Linked DNA regions of Arabidopsis thaliana. The protein of the gene in region 1 interacts with the protein of each later gene in a pairwise test. Each region holds a gene or a part of one and is shown on either strand. Other genes may lie near its edges.

Region 1 (8,241 bases):
TCTCTCGTCGCCTTCTTGCTACAGATCTGAAACAAAGGAGAGTAAGGAAAGAGGAACTTTCGATCTGCAACCGATCTCATCGTCTTCACAAGCACAATTTCGCTAATATGAATCAGATATTTACACAATCTAACAAAACTCTAAATTCTATTCGTAGAATTGAAGAATCATCGCAAAACCTGGATCGATTGGTTGTAAGATTGAGGGAACAAAAATTTTCTTCTTTCACCTCTAGATGTTATTGTCTGATACACTCAAGCTTCCGTCGTTAGTCACAAGCGCTGCCGCTCCGAAACCAATCGAATAAGCCTAATCGTCACTTAAATCTAGAGAGGCTTCTCTGTAAAGGGAAATATAGAAGCTACACGATTTTGACAAAGTCTCTCATGTTTGATTTTGCAAGGAAAGACTGAAAGATGAAGAAAGAGATAGATAAAGAAAGAAAAGAAGAGTCGATGAAGAAAAAAGAAGTAGACGATGAAGAAGACGAAGAAAAAAAGTACAAATAGAGAAAGAATATTCATTATACTTTTTTGAGTAATTAAATTATATATATAATCTGATAATAGTTACAACTTCCATCCAACGACCCACTCATCATATACCAACTTCCAAACGCTAAAGTATTTTCGTTTTCACTTTTAGGGGCAAATTTGTCATAAATTCGATGAAAAAGTTGAAAAAATGCCTCATCTCTGCAAAGTGCCTCAAATGGAATAAAATTTTCTAAAAGTGCCTAAACTTGTCACATTCCTAAAAAGGAAATCACTCAGTATTTGAGCACGTGAGTGTCACGTGCTTACAAGTTTATTATTTTCCGTCGCCTCAAATTTTATTATTTTCGCTTCGCCGACGTATTTCTCTCTCTTCCGTCTAGTCTAGCTCTCCGATCATGTGGGTGACGAATACCGTACTTCTATATCGACCCAATTCTATGAACCGATTAACCTTTTCTTACCCGACCCGACTCGCCCACTCTCGTAAAGCCTCTTCCTTTTCCCGTTTCTTTCGGTCTTCAAAGAGGAAGAAGCGGGTTACGACATTGTCGACGAAGAAACCAGGTTCAGCTTTCTCACCTCCATTGACTTACCAATCTCTTTGCCAATGTTTATCTGTTTGAAATATTCTAACTTTATTCAAAATTTTAACAGATGACGATCACGAGATATCGCCAGTTCCGCCGGAGAAATTCTCCGCTGATTTGGGATGGTTATCGGCTTTTCCTCATGTATCAGTTGCTTCTATGGCCAATTTTCTCTTTGGTTATCACATTGGGTAATAATATAGCCAATTCACTGTTGCCAAATTTGTGAAGTAACAGTCGTTGTTGTTTGTTTCACTGGCCTAGTTTGATTTCTATACCAGAAGATTAATCTCTGTTCGTGTAGTAGTGTTAATGCTTGGTTGTGTTACAGAATTCGAAAAAAAGTTTCATTTTGACATTGCTGGTGAGAAACAGCTTCAATTTGAGCTTACAAAGATGTTGATTAGATTGTTTTTACAGAGTGTTGATTTGTCCCCGTCTTGACAATTTGTTAGCTTCCAGTGAGAAGAATATGAGTTAGTCAGGTTGATCTGGATTAGTTTTTCGAAAGCTTAGTACTTATAATACTATCAGTTTGTTCTTGCAGAGTGATGAATGGCCCCATCGTGTCTATTGCGCGTGAACTTGGGTTTGAAGGCAATTCTATTCTTGAGGGTCTTGTTGTGAGCATATTTATTGCCGGTGCATTTATTGGTAGCATAGTCGCCGGTCCACTAGTTGACAAGTTTGGCTACCGACGCACCTTTCAGATTTTCACGATACCCCTCATTCTTGGTGCCCTTGTGAGGTAATATCTTGTTACTAAGGTGAATCTTGATTTCGTTATGTTAGTAACAATTCCATGATGATGTTTTAAGTTGTGAGGTAGCAGCATAACTAAATTTTACTTTTTCTCTCAGTGCACAAGCTCACTCCTTGGATGAGATCTTATGTGGAAGATTTCTTGTTGGTCTTGGTATTGGCGTCAACACAGTTCTTGTTCCAATATATATATCCGAGGTAATCTAATATGTGATTCCTTTTCAACTTCATGTTTTAACTATTTGGCTTCTTCTGCTGTAAGATCTAGGACATTTCTTAAAATTGATCCTATGTACTCTCAGACTCTCAGTACAATAAGTTGTGGTTTAGCATTCTTTTGCTTAGCATATTTTGCATTTCATATGTTCGGCTGAAGAGTCTTGTTACTTCTGATATTAAGCCAACCATTTTTATTCTATAGGTTGCTCCGACGAAATACAGAGGTTCCCTTGGAACTTTATGTCAAATTGGCACTTGTCTCGGGATAATCTTTTCTCTTCTCTTAGGGATTCCTGCAGAAGATGACCCTCATTGGTGAGCTTCATTTAGCTATCTATACATTTCACTCTTCACTTCATTCTCCTCATGTATACTACTGTTCAGGTGGAGGACAATGCTCTATGTAGCGAGTATGCCTGGTTTTCTTCTTGCACTTGGTATGCAATTTGCAGTAGAAAGTCCCCGTTGGCTCTGTAAGGTATAAGTCGCCTCTTTTAATCATGAGGAAGCATTGATTTTCCATGTTGAAATCGTGTCTCATGATACTTGTTTAGGTTGGACGACTTGATGATGCCAAAGTAGTGATAAGAAACATCTGGGGAGGATCTGAAGTCGAGAAAGCTGTAGAAGATTTTCAGTCGGTTATGAAGAATAGTGGCTCCAACTTAAATAGCAGATGGCTGGAACTCCTTGATAAACCACATTCACGAGGTCATGTTAAGGTTGCTTTTAATGTTAGTTCTAACTTCTAAGGGTGTTATATTATACCATAAATCAGAAACTGAAAACATTCAAGTTTAAGAATAACCTTTTCCAGGACTTTGATCTAAGAAACTGAGAATATATAACTTCATACATGAAAAATCTATGTAGCTAAATTGTATGTCTTGTTGATATAATGGTTGCAGTTGCATTCATTGGGGGCTCCCTTTTTGTCCTACAGCAATTCGCGGGCATAAATGGCGTTCTTTATTTCTCATCTTTAACATTCCAAAATGTTGGAATCACGAGTGGTGCTCAAGCAAGTCTATATGTTGGAGTCACAAATTTTGCAGGTTCTCAAGTCTCACCTATATCAACTTTAAATTTAGATGATTGTTTTTTTCTACTGTTTCCATCACAATGTCCCTTTTCTGAACTGTTGGGTCTAATAGGTGCTCTGTGTGCGTCTTATTTGATTGATAAGCAAGGAAGAAAGAAGCTTCTTATCGGTAGCTACTTGGGAATGGTAAATATCTTTTTCTTTTATCACATAAACTCTTTTGCTTTTCACTGCTTTAGCTTATTTTGATTGAATTGATTTGGTGTCACAGGCAGTCTCTATGTTTCTTATTGTTTATGCTGTTGGTTTCCCCTTGGATGAAGATCTGAGCCAGAGTTTGTCAATACTTGGAACACTCATGTAAGTAGCTTGAAGTCCAGCAATTACTAGTCTCCTTTTCTCAGCTCATATAGTACCCAAAAAAAGACAGAAACGTATCATATGTTTGGTCCTGTTACAGGTATATATTCAGTTTTGCAATTGGAGCTGGTCCTGTAACAGGTCTCATCATCCCTGAGCTAAGCAGCAACAGAACGCGTGGAAAAATCATGGGTTTCAGCTTCTCTGTACATTGGGTATGTGTTTTTTTAGTTTTCCCATAAATCATTTTATAACCTTTTGAAGTTTGAAGAATGACGAAGCAAATGTTCTTCAGGTCTCCAACTTCTTGGTTGGTTTGTTCTTCCTGGATCTGGTGGAGAAATACGGGGTTGGAACGGTCTATGCCAGCTTTGGCTCAGTATCATTGTTGGCAGCGGCATTCTCACACCTCTTCACGGTGGAAACAAAGGGTCGATCACTAGAAGAGATCGAACTGTCTTTGAACTCCAGAGACGACCTGAGTTAAAAAAAAAAACGGTATAAGTGAAAGAAAGAGAGAAAGACCTCAAAATTTTTATCAGTTTTTCATCAGTTGTTGTAAAATGTAAATAGCCTGGAAATTAGCTTGTGAGAAATCTTGTGAGTATATAGATATACTTAGGTATGTAAGAAAAGATTTATAAAAAATGCGAAAGAAAGTTGACAAGGATTACACAAAATACATACTTATGAAAGGTTTGTGCCTATTTACAAGTGGTAAGACGTTCTTGATTTATAGCTTAATGTAGTAACATTGTCTCGATCTAGACTATACATGCTTACCATGTCATGGTGAAAATCGTGAGTCCATAACTCATGATCTCTATATATTCATATTCATATATAATACTGGTTTGCACGTCTGCAAACAAAGATAAAGATTTCTGATAATATTAAATTTATCCCAAGAATATTGAATATAAAGATGCTAGCTGGTTCTCTGAAAAAAAAAAGCGTACACAGCTTGTCATTGAATTTATAACCTATACGAATATGAGGCTCGTAGAAACAACTCTTAAGGAATTGTGAGAGAATGTTACTTTTAGCCGATCAAAAAATTTGTAACATAAATACACTGACAAGATATTTGTATTATAATAAGTTTTCGAAATTTGAACACAATTCTATGCATCATGCTTTTTCTTCTAACAAGAAGAAGAATTTAAACACAATTATATATTTAACGCGCCAAAATCGCGTGTGAAGTCTCTCTATTAGTCAACGCTATATCTTGAAAGGGTCTCGAGACTCTCCAGCCATTTTATTCTGCCTTCCTCTCTATATTTAGAAGAACAAAAATTGAAAAAAAAATCCTTAGAGAGAGGAAAAAAATTTAGAGGAAAATCTTCTAATTTGGTTTTAATTCTTCGTGATTAATCGCTAATCCAGAGTGATTAAGAAATTAAAACCCCTTGAGGAACAAAGAAGACGTTTGGGTGAAATTAAAAGCGCGACGACGAGGACAATGCCGAGCAAGCTTAAAAAAGCGATTGGTGCGGTTAAAGATCAGACAAGCATTAGCCTCGCCAAAGTTGCTAACGGAGCCACCGGAGGCGGCGATCTCACGACTCTCGAAGTTGCGATCTTGAAAGCTACGAGCCACGACGAGGAAGTCCCAATCGACGATCGACTCGTAACAGAAATCCTCGGAATCATATCCTCCAAGAAATCTCACGCCGCCTCTTGCGCCGCCGCGATCGGTCGCCGTATCGGGCGTACACGGAATTGGATCGTCGCGCTCAAATCCCTAGTCCTCGTCCTCAGGATTTTCCAAGACGGTGATCCTTATTTCCCTCGCGAAGTCCTCCACGCCATGAAACGTGGCGCCAAAATCCTCAATCTCTCCAGCTTCCGCGACGATTCGAACTCGTGCCCTTGGGATTTCACTGCTTTCGTCCGTACATTCGCGCTTTACCTCGACGAACGTCTCGATTGCTTCCTCACCGGAAAATTACAGAGACGGTACACAAACCGAGAACAAACCGGAAGAATCAGCACCAACTCAACAACAAGATCCCGGTTTAATCCCAAAGCCGGAATTAAATCCCACGAACCGGCGGTTCGAGATATGAAACCGGTAATGCTTCTTGACAAAATCACGTATTGGCAAAAATTACTAGACAGAGCAATCGCGACGCGGCCGACGGGAGACGCGAAAGCCAACAGGCTCGTGAAAATGTCGCTTTACGCCGTCATGCAAGAGAGTTTTGATCTTTACAGAGACATTTCCGATGGATTAGCGCTTTTGTTAGACAGTTTCTTCCATCTGCAATACCAATCTTGCATCAATGCGTTTCAAGCTTGTGTTCGAGCTTCGAAACAGTTCGAAGAGCTTAACGCATTCTACGATCTTTCCAAATCGATCGGTATAGGAAGAACATCGGAGTATCCTAGCATTCAAAAGATCTCTTTAGAGCTTCTTGAGACATTGCAAGAGTTTTTAAAAGATCAATCGTCGTTTCCAGCGAGCTCAGGGTTGTATCCGTCACCGAATAGTTTTCTTCCTCCGCCTCCATCGTCCAAAGATTCAGCGGTTTCAAGCTCGCTTGATTTTGGGGATTCCACGATTGATACGTCGGAGAGGTATTCAGATTACGGGTCGTTTCGTAGTACTTCGTTGGAGGATTTGATGAGCAGGACTGAAGCAGGGACTAGTAGTCCTCCAATGTCTTGTCATTCTGAGCCATACGGAGGAGGACGAGATGATCCTAATGGGAATAATTTTGATACGGTTTCGACTAAATCGCTTCCCAATAATCCCTCTGTTTCTGCTTCCAATCTCATATTAGACCTATTGTCATTGGATGACGTAAGTAACACGGCAGAAGCAGAAGATGTTGAAGACAAGAAGAAGCAAGACGATTCAAAGGCAGAGACTTTCGATCCTTGGGAGGCGTTGATGTTGAGAGATGATCCGAAGAAGAAGATAGAAACGATTGAGGAGGAACCTTCAACCGCTGAGGACCATCAGAGAGATTCAGGGAATTGGTTGCTTGCGTTAGAAGAAACTGCTACGCAGGTGCAGGGTAATAACTCGATGGCGATAGTACCGTTCGGGTTAGATGATCCGATGCCTGCGTTTCAAGCCGCCACGGACCAATACAACCCATTCTTGGAAGAACCAGTTGCGCAGTTAGCTACAGCCGGAGAACCAATGATCACGTTCGGTGGCTTGGCTTTGACAGGGTTTCAGCCAGAACCGACATTTCAGGTGAACGTTCCTGATGATTTTGAGCCGTCTTCTACACCAACATTTAAGGCCACGGAGACTTTGCCTATGAAATGTGACCCGTTTACAACATTTGAGAGTTTTGGGTTCGGAGAGACATTTTCAGAAAATGGAGGGGTAAATCAGCAATCTGTATTGCAAGAACAGCAGATATGGTTGCAGAACCAGAAAAAGATCATAGCCAAGCACTTGAGTTGATACAAAATTTATTTGGCTAGACAGAGGTTGAGATGTTTCTTTGAGTTTTTCTTTTGTTACATTGTCAACTTAACTCTTAACTCATTTTTCCATAACTTAGAGAAATGTGAAATTCAGAAATTCTTTGATTAAAAAGATATTTCCGCGGATTCTATCTTCGTACTTGCATTCCTGTGTATACACGATGTATTTTGTGTGTCTTGTATCATAATCACATTGAGAATTTGATTTTCAAGTATATCTCAACGAATAACACTCAAATATCTAAGTTCACCTTCTGAATACATTTACGTACACGGTACACTTTGGGATTTACTTTTGAATATGTTATTTTCTTTGAAGTTTTTGGGAATTGAAATTTAGCTAGCATTTTGATCATCGTGATGATGTTATGTAGCATTTAGTTTATGTATTTTTGAAAATATTTATGTATTCATTTTTAGTCTATATTAATATAACAAGTTTTCACATAATCACACAACAGATGCATGCATCTAATGTGTGTGTATTAGATGAATGTATCCGATATGCGTATTAGATGCGTATATCTGGCAAACAATTTTTTGCATTTTATTTTCCGATATGCATGTATTTATGTGTTATGATATGCATCCGTGATAATGCGAATGATAAAATGAATGTATATCGGTGGAAGATAACGAAGAGGGAAGCCAAATGGAATAAATTAAGGAGGTCCACTAGTAGGTCAAGTTGGCTTTGTGGTGTCGATAACATGAGATTGACCAAAGCTGTAGCTTGACCCCAAGGCCACGAGGGAGAAAGATCTACCAAACCAAAATCATCATAACACATCTCTTTCTAGTATATAGCCCACCACAAATATTAATTCTTTTAATAGTTATACACCACAAATTTTATCCCCCATTGGCCATTGACTAGAGTCGTTTTCGTCTTTGACAGTGGTAAAAGCTTCTGTATATGTGAATTTAGGATTCCACCTTTCTTAGGTTTCTCATTACAAGTTGATTTAACTTCTTGACTTCTCAAGTTGTTGTTTTGTAATTTAGTAAAAATTTGCTTACAAGTCATACATGATTGAATATAACACCGGCTGCTAAGCCTATTTTTCTATCATAAGTTTCGCTTTCGAGTCAAAATGTTAGTCAACATGAAATAAAACACGTTTCTTTATTTGTTTTGCTTATTGATCAACTTTAAAATAGTCCCATAAAATAGCAAATATTAAGAAATTTCAAATCAATACATTAGTTGCCAAAACCCGTCTGTGATATTATACTTTTTGAGGCTCCATAATAATGACGTGAGATTTGTTTGTGACTGAGGAAGTGGAAAATAAAGTTAAGCATGTCTTACTATTATCAAATA
Region 2 (9,947 bases), on another chromosome or scaffold:
GCTATCTGATAAAATGATTAAAAAAAAAAAGTCTACTGAAGGAGGATGATAAAGTTTAAGTGTTGAGATTTTATTCAAGTTATGTAGTATACAAAAAAGGGGATAGTTTTAGACTTTTAGTAGTACGAATAGCTAATCTTCTAAATTAATTGCTATCTATTACACTACACTATCAATAACTAAAAATGAATAAATCTAGTGCAGTTTATTCAATAAAAATGTCACGAATTTTACATAAGTTGTAAACATCCATCTATTAAAACATAATCACACAACATCTATTTTGTTGGAATACCATAAACTTTTACTTGACGGCTACATAAACATGATACATGATTAACATAGGCCTTTTAAAAAAGCAAATATATATGACTAGAAGAAGAAAGCAAAAGAAATGGTAGAAGACAGAAATCAAAAGCGTGCAAGAATTATATATACTATGATATGGGCTCCAACTAGAGATCACTTGTTGACAAAGAAGAAGAAAAAAAGAGAGAGAGATCACTTTGGAAATAACAATGGCGAACAAAAGGACAAATATATGCCACGTCATCCCTCTCCATCCACCTTTATGTCATTTCTCAAAAAAACAAATTTTTTTTATCCGATTCATTATCAAAAAATAAAATTAAAAAAAAACAATTATTTTAAATTATTTGGTTAGTGTTTCATTATAATTTTTCTTATAAATAGGGTCTTTAAACCTTCCAAGAAGTCATATAGAAAACGGCTTCATAAAAAGAAGATAGAACTTGGATAAGTTTAGAAGATAGAAATGGAATGGAGAGAATGTTATTTAGATGTGATATTGGTGCCGCTAGGGCTAATGGTGTATGCATCTTACCATGTTTACTTGTGGCATAAGTTACGAACACAGCCTCTCACCACTATCATCGGCACTAACGCTAGAGCTCGCCGATTCTGGGTCGCTTCCATCATCAAGGTAACTTCAATTTTCTTATATAAACATCTTCACACACATAAATATATGATTTTAATTTTATGTATTTGATTAAATTAGGACAACGACAAGAAGAACATCTTGGCCGTTCAAACGCTTAGAAACTGCATAATGGGGTCGACTTTGATGGCAACAACATCGATCCTCCTCTGCGCTGGTCTAGCTGCGGTTTTAAGCAGCACATATGCAGTGAAGAAGCCTCTAAACGACGCTGTTTTTGGAGCTCGCGGAGAGTTCATGGTGGCTCTCAAGTACGTCACGATACTCACCATATTCCTCTTCTCCTTCTTCTCTCACTCTCTCTCAATTCGTTTCATCAACCAAGTTAACATCCTCATCAACACTCCTTTTCCTCCTGAGGAGTTGGAGGACGAGATGATGATGACCGCGGAGGAGTACGTGGCGGAGTTGCTAGAGAGAGGGTTTATTTTGAATACTGTGGGGAATCGGTTGTTCTACGCGGCTTTGCCGTTGATGCTTTGGATATTTGGACCGGTGCTTGTGTTTTTGTGCTCGGTCGTGATGGTTCCTCTACTTTACAACCTCGATTTCTTCTTCTTCGGTAAAGAAAGAAGAAAACTTGATCAAAAGTCTAGTTTTGGATCTGTGTAAAATCGAGTTCTGGTCAGTAGAACAAGTGATTTGTAATTAAGTGATATCATCGTCCTCTTTGTTAAATCCTGGACTACCGATGAACGCATGAGGACTTTACATGGAAGTTGAAAAGTTCGAAGATCATAGTTTAGGTTTCAATTCTAGATCTTCCGATTAAGAAAAAAAAATGTAATTAAATAACGCATTATAATTTTCATATATTAGGGTTTTTCGGCCGTATGTATTTGGTGTGGTGTAATATATGTCACGTTTTGGTTTATTGAGCGTTATTATTGGCATTTCCATGTGGGTGACTTTATAACGTATCAGCATATCTCACAGCTCTCTTGGTATGTACGTTTCTCTTTTTTCTTTTTCTTTTTCTGTTAGTGTTTATATGCATGTGGCTTACGTTGGGCAAGAAACGGGACAAAAAATGTGATGTTCACATCTATTCCGTGCATTAGTATCTGTCTTATTAAGTTTTGTTGTTATGTTATGTGTTAGGAACCAGTCGTCACGAGGCTATTTAAATCCTCCCTAAGACAATGTAGAAATATACCTACACGGTTATTTTTCTGTGTAGTATGAAATCAAACTGTTTAGAACTCGTTTAGAGATGACAATTCAGATTATGATGTTAGCTAATTATATCCGAATCTAGTTCTGAAGCCCATGTTCGCCTAGATTAAAATTGTATCATTGTATGTTAACTAACTCTATTTTTCATATATATATTTTCAATTTTGGTTTAGATTAGGTAAACAAAAAGCTATTTCATGCTACAAACAAATACAATTTTAGTGATGAAAATTTTCGTAGTTAAAACTTTAGTTTCGTACGTAGCTAAATAGCTAAACGACAGTTGCTAAATAACTTACTCGTGACTATCCGTTGATACACAAATTTCATGGATAATAGCTACTGACCATTTAACAACGAGATAGCCAGAGATATATCATAGAGATAGCCAATTAAACTGTTGGCAAAAGTACCATGGGCTGTCCTTAAGTGGGCCTAAATCTAATAAAATTATAAACTGTGGCCTGTTAGGCATGTGATATTTTTCTCTTTTTCTTCAAGCCTTTTTATAAAAATAAATGTCAAGAGATGATGAAGGCATTTGCACTTTTGAAGAATTGAAGTAGGAGCTCAAAGCGAAGGATTACGATGATAGACATCTCTGTAATGATTTAACAAAACTCAAATACAACATCAAGTTTGGAAGATCACTGGACTGTTTTGTGTTTGATCATTTACTCACCTGTAATTCTTTTTTACTAATATATAACTTATAAGAAATCATAAACTATAATCTTTTTTTTTTTTGGGTTTAATGAGACTTTTTTCTGTCCTTTTTTTGAACACCTGTGAATCATAGACTATAATCGAACTTCATCCCCTTTTTTTTTTTTTTGGGAAACTTAGAGAAGAACAAAACATTTGTGAGGCTGATGATTTGATGAGACCGCAACGTTGGAGAACTTTGGAGTATATTAATAATATACATTTTCAATATTATCAGTATATGCATTTTCAACTAGGCCTTGCTTTATACACCGGAGATTATAATTAATGAAAAGATGAATTACGTTAATGTCATTGCTTCTGGTTTGAGTTGGCAAACTCCACGTACCACGTACATATAATTATTATTGAGTAGTTGCTAATTAATTATACTTTTGTCTTGTTAAAACTAGTATTATAAATTGGTTAATGCCATAAAGCAAACGATAGACCAGACACATCTCTGATAATCCAGCGGTACTTATTTGTCATGATTCTGTGATCCAATCAATTAATCGTATAGATTTAGCTATCGCGAATCGTGATTCCAACCTTTACATAAATTCTTTTTAAATTAGGGCAAATTGTGTTGGATCAAGCATAGTAATAACATAATACGTACTTATAAAATTGTTAACGTGCCGGTGTTGTTTGGAGAGAAAAACAAAGATTCTTAGCTCTCAGGCAATTAAAAAAACGAGTATCGAAAAATTCAGAATAGAAGTTGCTTAGTTAACGAGAAATTAAATGGTGCATCGAATATCTAATGGTTTAATCTGGATATAGTAAAATTAGTACTCCACGATTAGTTAGCAGGCAAGTAGATGAATGTCATTAATTTGATGATCTGATTGAATTGCTTTCGAAAAAGGACAATAATAATAATATCGACTGGTTAATTGGTTGTCATATTTTACCCAAAAAGGATCAACCATTGGATTTACGCCACGTCATTAATGTGAAAATACAAAAGTGGATCCGATGGATGCCGCGTGTCATCGTCGGTCACGACATACCCACGAAGCCATTTACCTCACGTTTAGTACCATCTATCTCTCTCTCTCTCGTCTTGGCACGCTGTTTCTTTTTTTCCTACTGGTTAAGAAATTTCTACGGTCCATGGTCAAAAACACACCTTCATAAATATACAGAGAGATCGTGAGAGAGCAGAGAGGAAACGTTTCTCTTGTTCGTTGGAATCTCCGTCCCTTTTTGTTGATCGACGGTGGTGAATCTTAGACATGGCGGCTGCGAAGCTCGTCGCTTTGTTACTTCTTGCCTTGCTTTTCACCACCAGCGTCTTCGCCGATGCTGATGAGCCGGAGGTTTCTGAGGCTGCCGGATCCGATGGCTCTTCCAAGATCCACCTGGATCAGCTTAATGCCAAGATCCGTGCCCTAGGTTAGTTACCGACTTGCATTGTTCAGACTCTTCCATCTGATCGAATGATTGCGAAGTTTTGATTTTTATTCGACTTTGATTCGTATTTGAAATCGGAATCTGCAGAGTTCGCATGTTATTGGTCTGACGCTGATAGAATTACCGTTTCAGCTACTTGATGTGTTTCTCTGTTCTTATAGCATTGACTTAAATTAGTAGCTTTTGGATCGATTTCAGATATGAATCGTATTAACTTGTTCCCAATGTCGAATTGCTTGCTATGGTTTTGTGGAATTTGTGAAATGCCTAATCCGTTCTGATTCGAGCTTGTTATAGCTTGATTATTTGGTGAATGCAAATTTTGGGGTTTGAGCTTTATGTTTTGTTTTTGTTTTGTTTTGAAGAATCTCAAATCGATGAGAAAACCCGGGAAGTTCAGGGCAAAGACGAGGTAGTAGCAGAGAAGGAGAAACTACTCAAAGAAAGGGAAGACAAGATTGCTTCCTTGCAGACTGAAGTCTCATCACTACAGGTATGGATCTTATATGGTTTCAGTTTCATCTACTTTTTTTTGGAACTTGTGATAAAAAATTTCTAATCTTTTTGACATGTTTGGCTTAAATCTGATCTGTGTGTTTTCACTCATCTCCAGAAAAAGGGATCATCAGATTCTGCAAAACAGTTGGGAAAGGCTCAAGCACGAGCTGATGAATTAGAGAAGCAGGTGAAATTTTTAAGTTCAAAAACTCAATCTATTTATATGGTTAGAATTTGCAAACGGTTATCTGATTTTTGCGATCCTACTACTGTCGTTTAGGTTGAGGTTCTCAAGAACTTCTTGGAGCAAAAAAACAAGGAGAAAGATTCCACTGAAGCTCGGACTAATGAAGCTGAGAAAAAACTAAGGGAACTTAACTCGAGCCTTGACAAAGTATATTTGTTTACATCCCTCGTTTCATTTTTTGCATTACACCATTTCATTTGTTTTTTCTCTAAGGGACATGGTAAATGCTTAGTTACGTTTTTTTTTATCTCAGCTTTAGCTAGACTTTGTTTAAGGTTGAGGTCAAAATATCTTCATGTTCTAAGCCTCGTCATTTATGCTATGTTATTAGCATTGCAATTTCCGTTCTCAGCTATATTAGTTCTCATTAGGACAGCTCCTTGGATGATTTGATACTCGTGTTTGATCTTAATTCGATCTTGAGTTGTATGAGAATTATATAGAACAGAGTTTCGTTATGCAGTCTTATTATACCATCAGAACTTTCCCTCCTTCTTACTATACCATCGACCATGCTTTTATGGTCCCTTTTATGGATATGTACTTTTGGTTGAACCAATTCTTATAGTAATGTCCTGAGACATTTAATTATAGTATCTGATGTCTTGCAGCTTCAGAAGACAAATGAAGAGCAGAAGAACAAAATAGGAAAACTTGAACGTGCTATTAAGATAGCTGAGGTACAGTAACCTCTTATTAAAGTAGATTTGCCTCACATATAGTTTTTTTCTAAATTTTAAATTTCAGGAAGAAATGTTGAGGACAAAGCTCGAAGCAACCACAAAGGCGAAGGAACTGCTAGAGGTATTAGTTTGACACAGTTTTACATTTGGCTTTCTCTGATGCTATTATAGCATTAGATTTTCATTGTGTGGGAAATTAGCGGAGCCTGGAATCTGGAAGTCGGCAGAAAGCTAATGTCAATTGTTTTATTTACTCAGGCTCATGGTTCGTGGCTTCCCCCTTGGCTTGCTGTTCACTGGTTTAAATTTCAGGTAAGGTTTATGCTGGCCTTTTTACAGTTTTACAACATAGTAGTTATCCCCCCCAATTAACATAGGGAATTTCATGTACCTATAGACTTATACCGAGACACATTGGGAGGCCCATGGGAAACCTGCTGTGGAGACAGTAATTCTAAAGGTACTGTTTAACTTTTGTCCTATACTCCTATTGAGATTTATGCCTCTAAACAGTATGAGAGCATCTGGCTAATGAAGTTTACTTATTATTGAGTAGGTGACGGAAGCAAAAGCTCAAGCTGAAAAGTGGGCTGAACCACATGTCGAAAACGTTAAAACTGTAAGCATCTTATTGGCAATTTTTTTTGTAGTAAATTTCTTTGACATTAATGGAATGCCTGCATTTTTGGTGAATCACAAATCTCTAGAGTTATAATTGGCTCATATTACTATGTCTTATGACACTACTTGCAGAAATATATTCCAGCCATCAAGGAAACCGTTACTATACATGTTGAGCCACACTTCCGAACACTATCCATCAAAGCTAAAGAGGCTTACCATTCATCAAAGAGTGCTGTTTCCCCTCACATTGTCACGGTTCAAGAATTTGTAGACCCCTATTATCAGGTATAGTGTCTTTTTCAGTTTATTTTTTCACTGATAGGTTTGGTACACAATTAATCAACTAGTATTTACGGATGTAAACTTTATGCCTGTTACAATTTCCAGGAGGCCAAAAAGTTCAGCAAGCCATATGTCGACCAAGTGGCCACGACCACGAAACCACATGTTGATAAAATGAAGGTTGCCATGAAACCTTACACAACCAAGGTGATCATCGTCTATACAGAGTTCCTTGAATCCGCCACAACTTATCACAATCAGGTCTGAAACCAAAATCCTGCTAATGTATACTAAAAATAAATCTGAGTTATTCCACTTCTCGGACTCATCAAAAAGTATGCTCGACTTGTAAAGCTAAAATCTGTGTTTGTCTGTGAAGGTCCAAGCCCATGTTGAACGAAAACTGAAAAGCCATGAGCTGACGGAGCCTTTTGCTACCAATGAGTTTGTTTGGTTTGCGGTATTTTGCCTTACTTTCTTCTAGAACGTATTCTGAGAATGCATCCTTTATTTGTTTCCTCTCTAACTTCAAATCTAAAATCTATGCACTGCAGGCCTCTGCATTGTTGGTATTTCCCATCTTCGTTGCTTACAGAGTGCTCTCTTCTCTCTTCTGGCAAGTCTTTTAAGTAATCCATTTAGTCATTTTATGTAATATTCTTAATCATAAAAATATCTCATATTATTGTTTATCGCAGCACAAAGACAAAGAAACCTGTTAAACACCCTCATCACCATGGTCGTCGTAAGGCCAAAAGGGCTCACACTGACAAGTGATATTCATTGTTCCACGCTCTCAAAATAGTCGAGGTACACTCTCACGTTTAACTTTTGCTTGACATTAGCCACACTAAGGAACATCTCCTCTCTTAAAAGCATTGTAGTTACGAGTTTTCTAGCTTCCAGCCTCAGAGGAAATCATGTAGTCTAGTTAGTGTGAAAATAAACAAATATGTAGTGTTAGTAACAGAACCATACTCAGATTATGGAATGTGGTTTTGAGTATCTGATGCCACATAACATTAGGTGCTTCATTGTCGTTTCTTAATCTGTTGCTTCTTAATCGCTCCAGGTCACGAGGTTAAAACGCCATTGTTGTTGGACTGTTCTAAAGTCAGCTAGCTCACCGGACAGGTTGCTTGTTGAATGAAGGGAAAGTCTCGAGTTGGTGTCTGATGGGTTTTTAGAGGCTCGTTGTGCACAAGTGTTGACTTCTTTCCTTTATTATTTTGTATTGTTTTGGACAATTTATTTCAGCATTTTTACACAGAAGATTAGACATTACTAGAGAAATTCTAGCAAAAGCTTGGTTGTATTTTAGTGTATTTTTCTATTTTACGTGGATATATATTGCGATATCTTTAATTTCATTCGAACTCTTTCTTTTGCAACTTATCTTTATGCTTAATTCATAATTTCTTATAATTCCATCAAACTCTAGAATTATTCTTTATTTTCCTCAAATTACTTTCTTACAAAATGAACTCTTGGTCTCTTTAAAAATTCACCAGAAAGTTTTAGCTAACCTTGAAAAACACAAAACGTGGAAGAGATAATTAAGAGAGATATTGGTACTAACAATTCATCTTAACTAGATACAGTAGTCGAGAGGCCAACAACAAGTCTTGGGACTCGATTTGAGTCAAGAAAGAAGCATGTATCTATCTTAAAGGCACTTTAACGTTTCTACTTCCACTTGATTTTCTTGTTTATAAACATCGCCACTTCCACTTCCTCTAACACCCCAAAGTCACAGCAACTTGGTGCAAAAATAAAATGGCGAACCCCAACGAGCAAGAAAAGGCAATGAGAACGAAGGTTAAATGGAAAAGATTCACTGAGATGGAAGTAGATATGATTATGCCAGATCCATCTCCAAACGGTAACATCTATCACTCCGCCTTTGAGATGAATGCCGCAAGAAATGGTTTAACTGTCCCACCAAAAGCAAGAGCTATCTTCGGTTACTTAGTGATCATGCTTTACAAGAATGTCAACGAATCAAACTTTAGAGAATTTTCTAACAAGCGTTTCAAAGCACTTCGTGCTGTCGCTCATGATATTTCAGATGGACATATCTCAGTGTTCAATGATGTGGAAGATGCTATCTGCTATCGAAACTCGTATGGTCAGAACCATCAGATCCGTAAAGCTGTTCTGAGTGCTGTCCTCGGTAGCAAAAAGAATGACCACTGTTATTTCTCTAGTGTTAGTCTTAATGTTGCTAAATTCCTTTCTTGGACAGACATGGCAGGATATTATGTTGTCGAAGAAAATCTTGTTTATCCTGATTCCCCTGTTCTCAAAGCTCCTGAGTTAGCAACTGAAGTAAGCAATTGGAAAAAAGCAGATCAAGCAATCAAGGAAACTGACTCGCCTGAGTATTACAGGATCTTGCATGAGGATCCTGCGAGCTGCTCTATACTTAGAAGAGCAAACTTTCCGACGCTCATTGCTGTCGCAGAGAAGTTGAAGAATAGAGTGCTTGGTGGCAGCAACAAGGTAGTGAATGCAGAGATATCTGACAAAGTAGACTACTATTTTGATATGCATGTCAAGTAGTACGCTTCTGGCCGAGTGTGCGAAGCCACCGAGCGTATTGTCGACTACTTTGAGGAAAATTCTGAGTCATTAGCGAAGCTTTTCTGTAGTTAGGGTCTGATTCTACATGGCGTCCTGTTTTTTTTTTGTTTTTTTTTTTCTTGTGCACCACATGTGTTTAATCAGATATTTTAGTATGTTGCTTTGATTTTTATTTGCTGTCTTAAACTTCATTAAAAAAGAATTCAAGGAAGAGATTCAAAAACAGAAATACAAAGCATGACAGTTCAAAACAGAGCACAATTGCTCCGAATATGTAAAACATAGTTGAGACTAAGTAACAGTTAGCCCAAAGAATTTCTTCACTACACGTATTGTTTATGAATTCTAAGATTTCTTAAACCTAAACAAACCTTTCTTGGGGGAAAAATAGTATATTCTTCCATGTCTGTCCAAGAAAGAATATTGGCCACATATGAACAAATATCACCAAAAGAATCTCCATCCTTGGTATGATTGAGAAAACCTTTCAGGACAGCTTTTCCGATCTCAGGGTTCTATACCATAGGTGGACCGTAAGTAGGTCGAGTGATCCTCATCATTGAACACTGACACATCTTCTCCTTTGATCGGAACATAACCAGCTGCATCAAAAAGTATTCTCATATGTTGATCAGAGCTGACTTCAGTGTCATTCTTGTAAAGCATGATCACTAAGTAACCGAAGAGGGCCACTGACTTTTTTGGTTCTACCACCTTTTGTGGGACGATTAAACCGTTTCTTGCGGCAGCTGACGGGAAACTTATCGTT

The links. The genes of interacting proteins can lie anywhere in the genome.
Region 2: the proteins of AT1G05020 (region 1) and AT4G31340 interact in a protein complementation assay, tested with the Arabidopsis thaliana proteins (one large-scale study listed by BioGRID).

Annotation. Positions count from the first base shown.
Region 1 is NC_003070.9:1,434,037-1,442,277, reverse strand, and holds AT1G05020 (ENTH/ANTH/VHS superfamily protein), read left to right. Parts: upstream 1-4,514; 5' UTR 4,515-4,932; coding exon 4,933-6,894; 3' UTR 6,895-7,123; downstream 7,124-8,241. Other genes in the region: AT1G05030 (Major facilitator superfamily protein), read left to right, coding at 893-1,061, 1,152-1,275, 1,632-1,832, 1,945-2,044, 2,268-2,380, 2,450-2,543, 2,620-2,776, 2,974-3,120 and 4 more. UniProt on the Arabidopsis thaliana protein: Adaptins are components of the adapter complexes which link clathrin to receptors in coated vesicles. Clathrin-associated protein complexes are believed to interact with the cytoplasmic tails of membrane proteins, leading to their selection and concentration.
Region 2 is NC_003075.7:15,201,579-15,211,525, forward strand, and holds AT4G31340 (myosin heavy chain-like protein), read left to right. Parts: upstream 1-3,858; 5' UTR 3,859-4,083; coding exon 4,084-4,243; intron 4,244-4,626; coding exon 4,627-4,754; intron 4,755-4,874; coding exon 4,875-4,946; intron 4,947-5,039; coding exon 5,040-5,153; intron 5,154-5,617; coding exon 5,618-5,686; intron 5,687-5,753; coding exon 5,754-5,810; intron 5,811-5,947; coding exon 5,948-6,001; intron 6,002-6,086; coding exon 6,087-6,149; intron 6,150-6,245; coding exon 6,246-6,308; intron 6,309-6,442; coding exon 6,443-6,598; intron 6,599-6,700; coding exon 6,701-6,856; intron 6,857-6,974; coding exon 6,975-7,055; intron 7,056-7,149; coding exon 7,150-7,211; coding exon of another isoform or gene 7,212-7,215; intron 7,216-7,293; coding exon 7,294-7,372; 3' UTR 7,373-7,405; intron 7,406-7,667; 3' UTR 7,668-8,026; downstream 8,027-9,947. Other genes in the region: AT4G31330 (transmembrane protein, putative (Protein of unknown function, DUF599)), read left to right, coding at 776-943, 1,022-1,573.